Nothobranchius furzeri: one gene and its partner. The protein of the gene in region 2 purifies or fractionates together with the protein of the main gene of each other region. This does not show direct contact. Links are inferred from orthologs where the notes say so. Each region holds a gene or a part of one and is shown on either strand. Other genes may lie near its edges.

The links. The genes of interacting proteins can lie anywhere in the genome.
Region 1: the proteins of retreg1 (region 2) and microtubule-associated proteins 1A/1B light chain 3A purify together in Homo sapiens (affinity purification with western blotting; 3 studies listed by BioGRID and IntAct, with this or other methods). This does not show direct contact. The link is inferred for Nothobranchius furzeri from reciprocal best matches to the Homo sapiens genes RETREG1 and MAP1LC3A.

Annotation. Positions count from the first base shown.
Region 1 is NC_091743.1:78,250,661-78,254,908, reverse strand, and holds the start of microtubule-associated proteins 1A/1B light chain 3A, read left to right. Parts: upstream 1-1,446; 5' UTR 1,447-1,449; coding exon 1,450-1,615; intron 1,616-2,965; coding exon 2,966-3,021; intron 3,022-4,248. UniProt on the Homo sapiens protein: Ubiquitin-like modifier involved in formation of autophagosomal vacuoles (autophagosomes). While LC3s are involved in elongation of the phagophore membrane, the GABARAP/GATE-16 subfamily is essential for a later stage in autophagosome maturation.
Region 2 is NC_091751.1:36,444,794-36,448,772, reverse strand, and holds the start of retreg1 (reticulophagy regulator 1), read right to left. Parts: upstream 2,808-3,979; 5' UTR 2,744-2,807; coding exon 2,538-2,743; intron 2,507-2,537; exon of another isoform or gene 2,429-2,506; coding exon of another isoform or gene 2,367-2,428; intron 1,901-2,366; coding exon 1,794-1,900; intron 397-1,793; coding exon 366-396; intron 1-365. UniProt on the Homo sapiens protein: Endoplasmic reticulum (ER)-anchored autophagy regulator which mediates ER delivery into lysosomes through sequestration into autophagosomes.

The DNA.
Region 1 (4,248 bases), on a different chromosome or scaffold from region 2:
GCTCTCAGAGTGCAGGTTTACTGGTGGTTCCCAGAATATCTAAAAATAGGATGGGAGGCAGATATTTTAGCTATCAGGCTCCTCTCTTGTGGAACCAGCTCCCAGCTTTAGTCCGTGAGGCAGACACCGTCTCTACTTTTAAGACTAGGCTAGGTTATCCAGAGTTATCTCTGTAGATATGCTGCTATAGGCTTAGAATGCTGGAGGACATACTGACCACTTTCCACACTCTACTACTTTCTTCTACAATCTGCTCTTTAACTGCATTATTTCCTGCTATTTCAGCTGTTAACTTTATTTTTACTCTTAAGTGTTTTCCTCCCCAGAAGAAGCTACAATGATGTTCTGCTGAGCTGTAGTGGCCTCATGGAGGGGGCCATTGGCTAGCACACTGCTGCTAACCACTTCTCCCTCTCCTGACAATAACATTTTACTCTCTTTGACATTGAATGTGCTACTCCTAGTTTACCAGATTAATTATAGATTCACTAGGATAAATACAATAAAGTTTATCTCACCAAATAGAATGTTTACTAAGAAACACAAAATTCCTGTTAAAAGGGAGTTTTTCTCTGCACTGTCGCTGCATTCTTAGTATGAGGTGACTCGATGCAACCTGCTGGGTTCCTTAAATAGGAAACTTTTTACTGATTGGCTTAATGACCTGACCTGTATTGGAATGTTTACTGTGTGAAGGTCCTTGAGACGACTCTGGTCCTGATTTGATGCTTTATAAATAAACTTGAATTGAATTGTAGAGCGCCATGTTCTTTCCAATTTTCTAGAGTTTTGTTTTAAAGTTTGTAAATCAGAATTAAACCAGGGAGCCAACTTCCTGTGCTTAATTACCTTTTTTAAAGGGGCAACATCATCTAATGCCACACGTAAAGAAGTAACATTATGAACTAAATCATCAATTTGTGAGGGGCTAGAAATGAAAATATTGCCCTCTGCTACAGTCCTCTGAGATGCTGAGGACAGTAAAGATGGAATAATTGATTTAAAAGATGCAACAGCCTTGTCAGATAAAGACAGACTATAGTGAAATTTACTTTCATGTCTCTAGAACTCAGTTATAAAAAAACTCAAAGGTGATCAAAAAGTGGTCCGAGAGGACTGGATTATGTGGAAATATCGTTATTTTCCTCACACTCTATGCCATAAATCAGCACAAGGTTTAATGTATGATGCCAGGAGTGGGTGGAGCTATGCATTCTTTGGGTAAAACCAGTATATTACTAAAGGCTACACTGAGGCTATCATTTTCAATGTCCACATGAATGTTAAAATCCCCCACTACCATGACCTTATCAGTATTTAGCACCAAATCAGATAAAAATCAGAGATCTGATCCAGAGACGGCCTCAATTTTACTGACAGGAACTGAATAACTTTTCTGAATATTAAATGACAACTTGGCTTGCCTCACTCACCTCCATAAGGCAGCGGATGACGTCAGCGCGTCAGATTACTGGCTTTGTTTGTACGGAGCTGCTGCGGAGCTTCAGACCGAGCCATCTGAAACCCTCCCAGGGCCGTTTTCATCACCTTCTTTCGCCTGAAGCCGCTGCCGGGATGCCGTCGGACCGACCGTTCAAGCAGCGGAGAACGTTCGGTAAGACGGTGCTGTCTACAGCTAGCGTTAGTGCGTTTCAATGCGTAGGTTCACACCGGATTTAACGTGTTTACATGTGTTGATGGTCGGTCTGTAGCTTCACGGTAAACGGGGTCAATGTGACGCCGCAGCCTTTACACAACCGGATCAGCTCCGTGACCCACCGCGAGGCCAAAACAACAAGTTGTGCTGAAACATGACCCCTACACGTATTCTCTGATTAAATCGGTCACCTGACAGGAGGGGAGGAGTCTGGCAGTGACCCGCTCACCTGAACGGACCAGCTGTCAGTGTCAGAAACATGAATATCAAAGCAAGGTGAGAACTATGTAGATGAACACCTGGAACGGGTTGATAGAAAGCTCTAAAACTGGAGTTTCACCTGGAACACCCTAACATCTCTGACTGGAACCACAGGATGATGTCATCAGGAAGAGACCCATCCGGCCAATGGCGAAAATGATAACCACGATTATTTTGGTTGATGCAAATATATCGCGGGATCAGGTCGCGAGGCAGTAGTCTAAGCAGGGAGGCCCAAGCTTGAAATCAGGTGTGTTGAAACTGGGAAAACACTAAAACATGTGGGATAGTGGGCCTTGAGGACCAGAGTTTGACACCCATGCTAAGGTCCAGAACGTGGTTATGATGGTTTCATTTAGAAATGAGTTTCATCCATCCTCTTCCGTTTATCTGGAATCTGGTCATGGGGGGCAGCAGCCTAAGCAGGGAGCCCAGACTTCCCTCTCCCCAGCCACTTGGGCCAGCTTCTCCGGGGAATCCCAAGGCGTTCCCTGGCCAGCTGAGAAACATAGTCCCCTCAGTGTGTCCTGGGTCTTCCTTTAGGTCTTCTCCCAGTTGGATGTGCCTGGATAACCTCACCAGGGAGGCGTCCAGGAGGCACCCCAACTAGAAGCCCGGGCCACTTCAACCGGCTCCTCTCGATGTGGAGGAGAGGCGGGTCTAGTCCGAGCTCCTCCCGGATGACTGAGCTTCTCACCCTATCTATAATTCCGTTTATTTATAAAGCGCCAAATCCCGACAAGTCCTCTTAAGGCGCTTCTCAAAGTAAACATTCCAATAGTTCAGTTCATTAATGCAATCAGTAAAAAGTTTCCTATATAAGTAACCCAGCAGGTTGCATCGAGTCACTGACTTGTGTCAGAGACTTCACAGGAAGAAACCTCCAGAGGATCCTGGATCAGCATAAGCAGCCATCTGCAGTGACACACGGAGTCGAAAGCCTACCATCCAAAATGGCTGCAATATGGCCACCAATCCAAAACACATCTTCTCTTGTTGCTGTAAACTTCCTAATCTCATCATGCTGTCTATTTGTTTTGTCGACAGCTGATCGATGCAAAGAGGTCCAGCAGATCCGAGAGCAGCACCCAAACAAGATCCCTGTAAGCTGCACACGCACGAACCTGGGGGGTAGTCCACAAAGCGAGTTTAGAACATCGATGCCTTCCTGATAAATGCCTGCCTAACAAAGTGCATCTGTGCACTCAAGGATCTGTCGGTTCCACCGACTATGCTCAGGTGGATTCAGTTCTCTTTAATTCAAGTGAACCTCACAGGCAGCCTCTGTTAATTGATGCTGGATAACTGAGAAGGGAAGCAAAGTGTTTTGCTCTTCTCTTAGACGGAACATTCATGCCCACGAGGACTATCTGAACTAAAACAGAGACCGCCAGCTGCTTGGTTATAGCCATGTATCTGGCGCTATTTAAGCCGAGCTTATGCTTCTGAGTGTGCGTCGGTACCAAGGGATCAAGGCCGCTGGCTTTGCTCCAGCATGGAAGTACCAAAAATTACAGTTCCACCCTCATCCGCTAGGGGCTAGTACCAAAACAGAGCAAGTTCCCTTTGACTCCCATGTTAAAAAAGCCAGTTTCACAGCATAAATAAACACATTTACAGCCTGGTTCAAAAAGCCATTCTAGGTTTGACTGATCTTTCTAACATTTATGACAACTCTGAGGGGGTGAGTTATTTTATAACTCTTTGACTGTAATTAAATGCTTGAAATTATGAATAATTATTGAGCACCAGAGCTACAAGCTAGCTCTAGGAAAGGCCTCATGTTAATGGACGTTCGGCCATTTTGACTCTGAACTTTAGCTGTGTCCTCTGTGGGTTTGTGCTTGGATGTAAGGGACAGCAGCAGCTCAGGAGGTAGAGTGGGTTGTCCAGTAATCGGAAGGTTGCAGGTTCAATCCCGGCTCAGACCAGAGAATTCTGTCATTGTGTCCTTGGGCAACACACTTAACTCGCCTTGCTGGAGGTGGTCGGAGGGACCGGTGGCGCCTGTGTTCAGCAGCCTCGCCTCTGTCAGTGCGCCCCAGGGCAGCTTTAGCTACGATGTAGTTCATCACCACCAGCGTATGAATGGGTGAATGACTGTGTTGTGAAGCGCCTTGGGGGGTTGTAGAACCCTAAGGCACTATACAGATACAGGCTATTTACCATTTAATCATCGGATTATTTACCATACCATACCATACCAATTTTATTTATATAGCACATTTAAACACGGCATGAGAGCCGACCAAAGTGCTGAACAAAACACACAATAAAAACAATCAAAAATAAAAACTAAATCCATTAAAATCAAGTAATCCAACCCTAAA
Region 2 (3,979 bases):
GGGACTTTTTAAATACTTTAATTATGTAATACTATTTAAATGTATAGTAAGTGACTTTATTTTACTTTTACTTTGTAAAAACAAAACAGTGATTTCATGTTTAAGAGTTTCTGTTATGTTGGCTGAAAGCTCCACCCACTTACCTTCACACAGTGCTGGTGCTTTTTAGGCCTAAACAATTATTACAAATAAAAATACTAAATGCAAGAAAAACACCTGCTGCAAATGCTGCTGCTATGAAATTGTCCGTTTTGGTTTTAACTTCCTGCATTACCCTCATCTTATAGTTTCTAAGTACTGTGCGTGTGAAATATTACAAAAGTAATAGTACCTTTTATCGAGCAGCTCTACCTTTAGGGTCTTACCTTGTTGTCATGCTGCGCCATAAACGAGCTCCTGTCAAGAGAAAACAAATGAACTATTCATCATTGTTATAATAAAACAGTAAAGTAACCCAGTTGAAGAGTAATTTAGATTAAATTAACAAAAACTGAGTAAATTGTGTTCCAGTTTGTGTCATGGTCTGCGTCTGCCCCCTCCTTTTTGTGTCTCCTGATGTTTCTCCAGCCTCTCTAGTTTCCCTTCTGTGTCTCATAGCGCCCTCATGTGTCCTTTGTCTGCGTCTCAATATTGTGTCTTCTGTTTGTAGGCATTTTTATCATTCCCTCAGGTCCGGTGTTCATTTAGTAATCCTGTGTCCCTCCAGTTACTGTGTGTGTGTGTGTATGTGTGAGTTATTTATGTCTGTGTGTGTGTGTGTGTGTGTGTGTGTGTGTTAGTCCTTCCCGCAGCCTTTTAGTTTGGATTCGTAGTTTTAGGTTTATCTGTCCTCCTTTGGTTCTGTTTCCCCATTTAGATAATTATTGCCACCTGCCTCCCCTCCAGCCCTCACTCCACACACCTGCTTCCTGTTCCCTTAATTACTCCTCCCTGTTATTTAAGCCCTGTCTTGTCTTTGTCTTGTGTCGGTCCATTGTTGTTATTCTGTCAGTCTTCTCGTGTTGTCTCTAGTGTTTTGATCTCTGCACAGCTCTTTTGGATATTTATTGGTTTTTTGGGTCCAGCCCATTTGGATATATTTTTGTTTCATTCATCCTAATAAAATGATTTTACTTTATATCATCTCCTGCCTTGTGTCATCTTGGGTTCCTGCATTTTGGGTCCTACCAACACTGAAACGTGACAGTTTGGGGAATTTTTTGTCTTGTATTATTGGATTAGGCATCAGATTTCTCATCATTTAGCAGCTGCCTGAATAAAACCTCCATGTTTTGTGGTATTTATCGTATTTTATAGTAAAACCCAATCTGCTTCATCTTTCATGTAGAAATTAGGAAGTGTGAGAAAATTAAGGTGAGATCTGACGACTTGTTTCTTCTGGAGGTCATGACCCAGGTAGGTCACATCTTCAGCTGATGATCTCACTTTGAAGGATTCAGGGGACAGTTATGAGCTGCAGAATGAGCCCAAATCATCAGTCCTCCTATATGTATATGTCGATGGTCCTCCCCCACCATGCTAGAACAGCCTGTTTGTTCTAATGACTGTTGCTATGTACCGCTGTGCATTATGGGTAAGCATCTCCACATTCATTTCTTATTTCCAACCCAATTCCAGGTGCCTTGCCAGTCATTCAGGTGTAACTTCTCAAACCTAACCTTTACTTTAGGATGTTTTATAATTCAACATTAACATTAATTGTTGACATTTTTATATATAATTTTGTTTATTGTCGCAGAAACAGAAGATTTTGTTAAATTGGCTCCTTCACGAGAAAGGTGTTTACGTGTTACCTGTGGATCTGGTCCGAATCACGTCTCTGACTGTTACCATGGCAACCAGCAGAGCCAGCAGGATGGCCAGGAGGCTGAAGACTCGCAGAGAGCTGAAGGCAACAAACCTGCAGACATAAAGGTTTACCTGTTAGAAGCCAATTGCATTTATAATGGGAAACATCAAAGTGTCACGTGAAGCAGAACAAGTTTATTTTTGCATGAAAACAGACATTTTCCCAATGAAACTAAAAAAATTCTTCATTATTTTATTAAGAAATAAATAAAAAAGGATTTATTGTTACACAGAGTTTTTATGTCCTGGAAGTTATTTTATCTGTGAATTTAAATTTAGTAAATAACTAAATCTGAGCAAATAAACCAAAGCAAGTTATCATAAATTTATTTTGATTTCTTAGTTTGAACTAAATCAGATCCTTTTGCTGATTTCACTTTAGGTTTTTTTTCTTCTTCCGGAAATCATCATGATGCAAGGTTTAATCCTTGTTGTTGTTATGACACTAGTCTCTTGTCAAGCTGTGCAGTTCATAAAATAAAATAAGTCTCAAAATCAATTACATTACATTCATCCACCTGAGAGGTAATGTTAGTATTCTTCTTCTTCTTCTTCTTCTCATTTTTCTTCTTCTTCTCATTTTTCTTCTTCTTCTTCTTCTTCTTCTTCTTCTTCTTCTTATTATTATTATTATTATTATTATTATTATTAGACTGCGGCTGAGCATATCCCTGCGTCATGATGCCTACCACATCACCGTGTTGGCTGCAGCAAACAAGGCTGAAGTCCTGCACAGGTTCTGCTTCCAGCTGACCAGGCCGGTGAGATGAATCCCTGCTCGGCCGGAAGGTGTACTCTCCTCGGGCGGAGCCCGGCTTGGTGGCACCGGTGGTCCCCGCGACCCGGCTGACGCCTCCCCGCCGCCGGACGTACCTGCTTCCCGGCTCTTCAGCATGACTAAACCCTTCGCCGCTCCCCACCTCTAGCAGAAATAAGGCTCCATCAATTATCATCTTTTCCGGTTTGGTATTTTCAAAATAAAGCACACACTATATCACGTCACAAATCTGGGCTTCAGTCCCTCTGAAGTGGTTTTGACCAAAAATAAATAATACGAAATAATACAGCTATTTCTCTGCTATGGCAGAACTCAAATCAGCAGTTTAACTGTTAGGATTTATTGTACTCCAAAACCATTGTTTTTCTATTGTTGCAAGAGAACTTAGTTATGCATAAGAACAAATTTGTTTAAGTCATAAAAACAGATGGTCTGATGCAGTTCTGAGTTACTTTTTGTTTTTTACAAATTGGGAAAAGCAGGTTTTGCTGTTTTAATCACTTCTTGATGAACACTTTATAACTTGAATTACCTGTTAGGACTCAAACTCAACCTGGCATGTTAATGCCTCAAATTATTAAAAGATGCAAAACAATACTTCATTATTTGAATGTTCTCAAGGTTAAAGTGTTTATTTTGAGTGTCAAGTAAATTCTGTGTCTCAGCAAAAGAGATAAATAGTTAGAGATGTCCCTTTAGAAGCTCATTCAGGACATTTAGGAGTTTAAATGAATGGGTCTTGTGAACACTTGAGGGAAAAAAACAACAGAAAAAATGTTGACCCATTTTTTTTAACGCTGCCTGAACCGTTCTGACTGTGAATCAAGATGAGACCTTGTTGCCAAGCTGTGGTTTCCAACAATGTCCTGCTCTACTTTGTGCTGCCAGACTAGCTTCCTCACCACCAGGTCACCATCACAGAGTCAAACTTCCAGGAGGTTTATGGCTGATTCAAGAGAGAAAATATCAAAACTTTTGCTTTAAACTAAAATAAAGACTCGTTTTAGCAAGGACTTGTTGATTTTTGCCAAAATAATCAAATACATAAATTATAAGCAACTAGTTAAACATCTCTTATAGGAAACAATGCTTTCAGTTGACTGTGTTTGATACTTGTGCCTGTTTAATCTTTAAATCCTGTCCTGAGTCAGCCTTCACCCTCTGCAGCGACAGTCCTCCTTTAGGGGGGACATGACATGTAGGAAGTTGCAGATTCTGTAGAAGTTTAGTTTTGTTTGTAGTCCCGAGCAAAGAAGGGAAAATAAGAGTCATTCCAGTCCGTTGCATTGTAAAGAGAAAATATGACATTTAAAGCTATGTCTTCAGAAGAAAACTCATCTGAGGATTTATTGG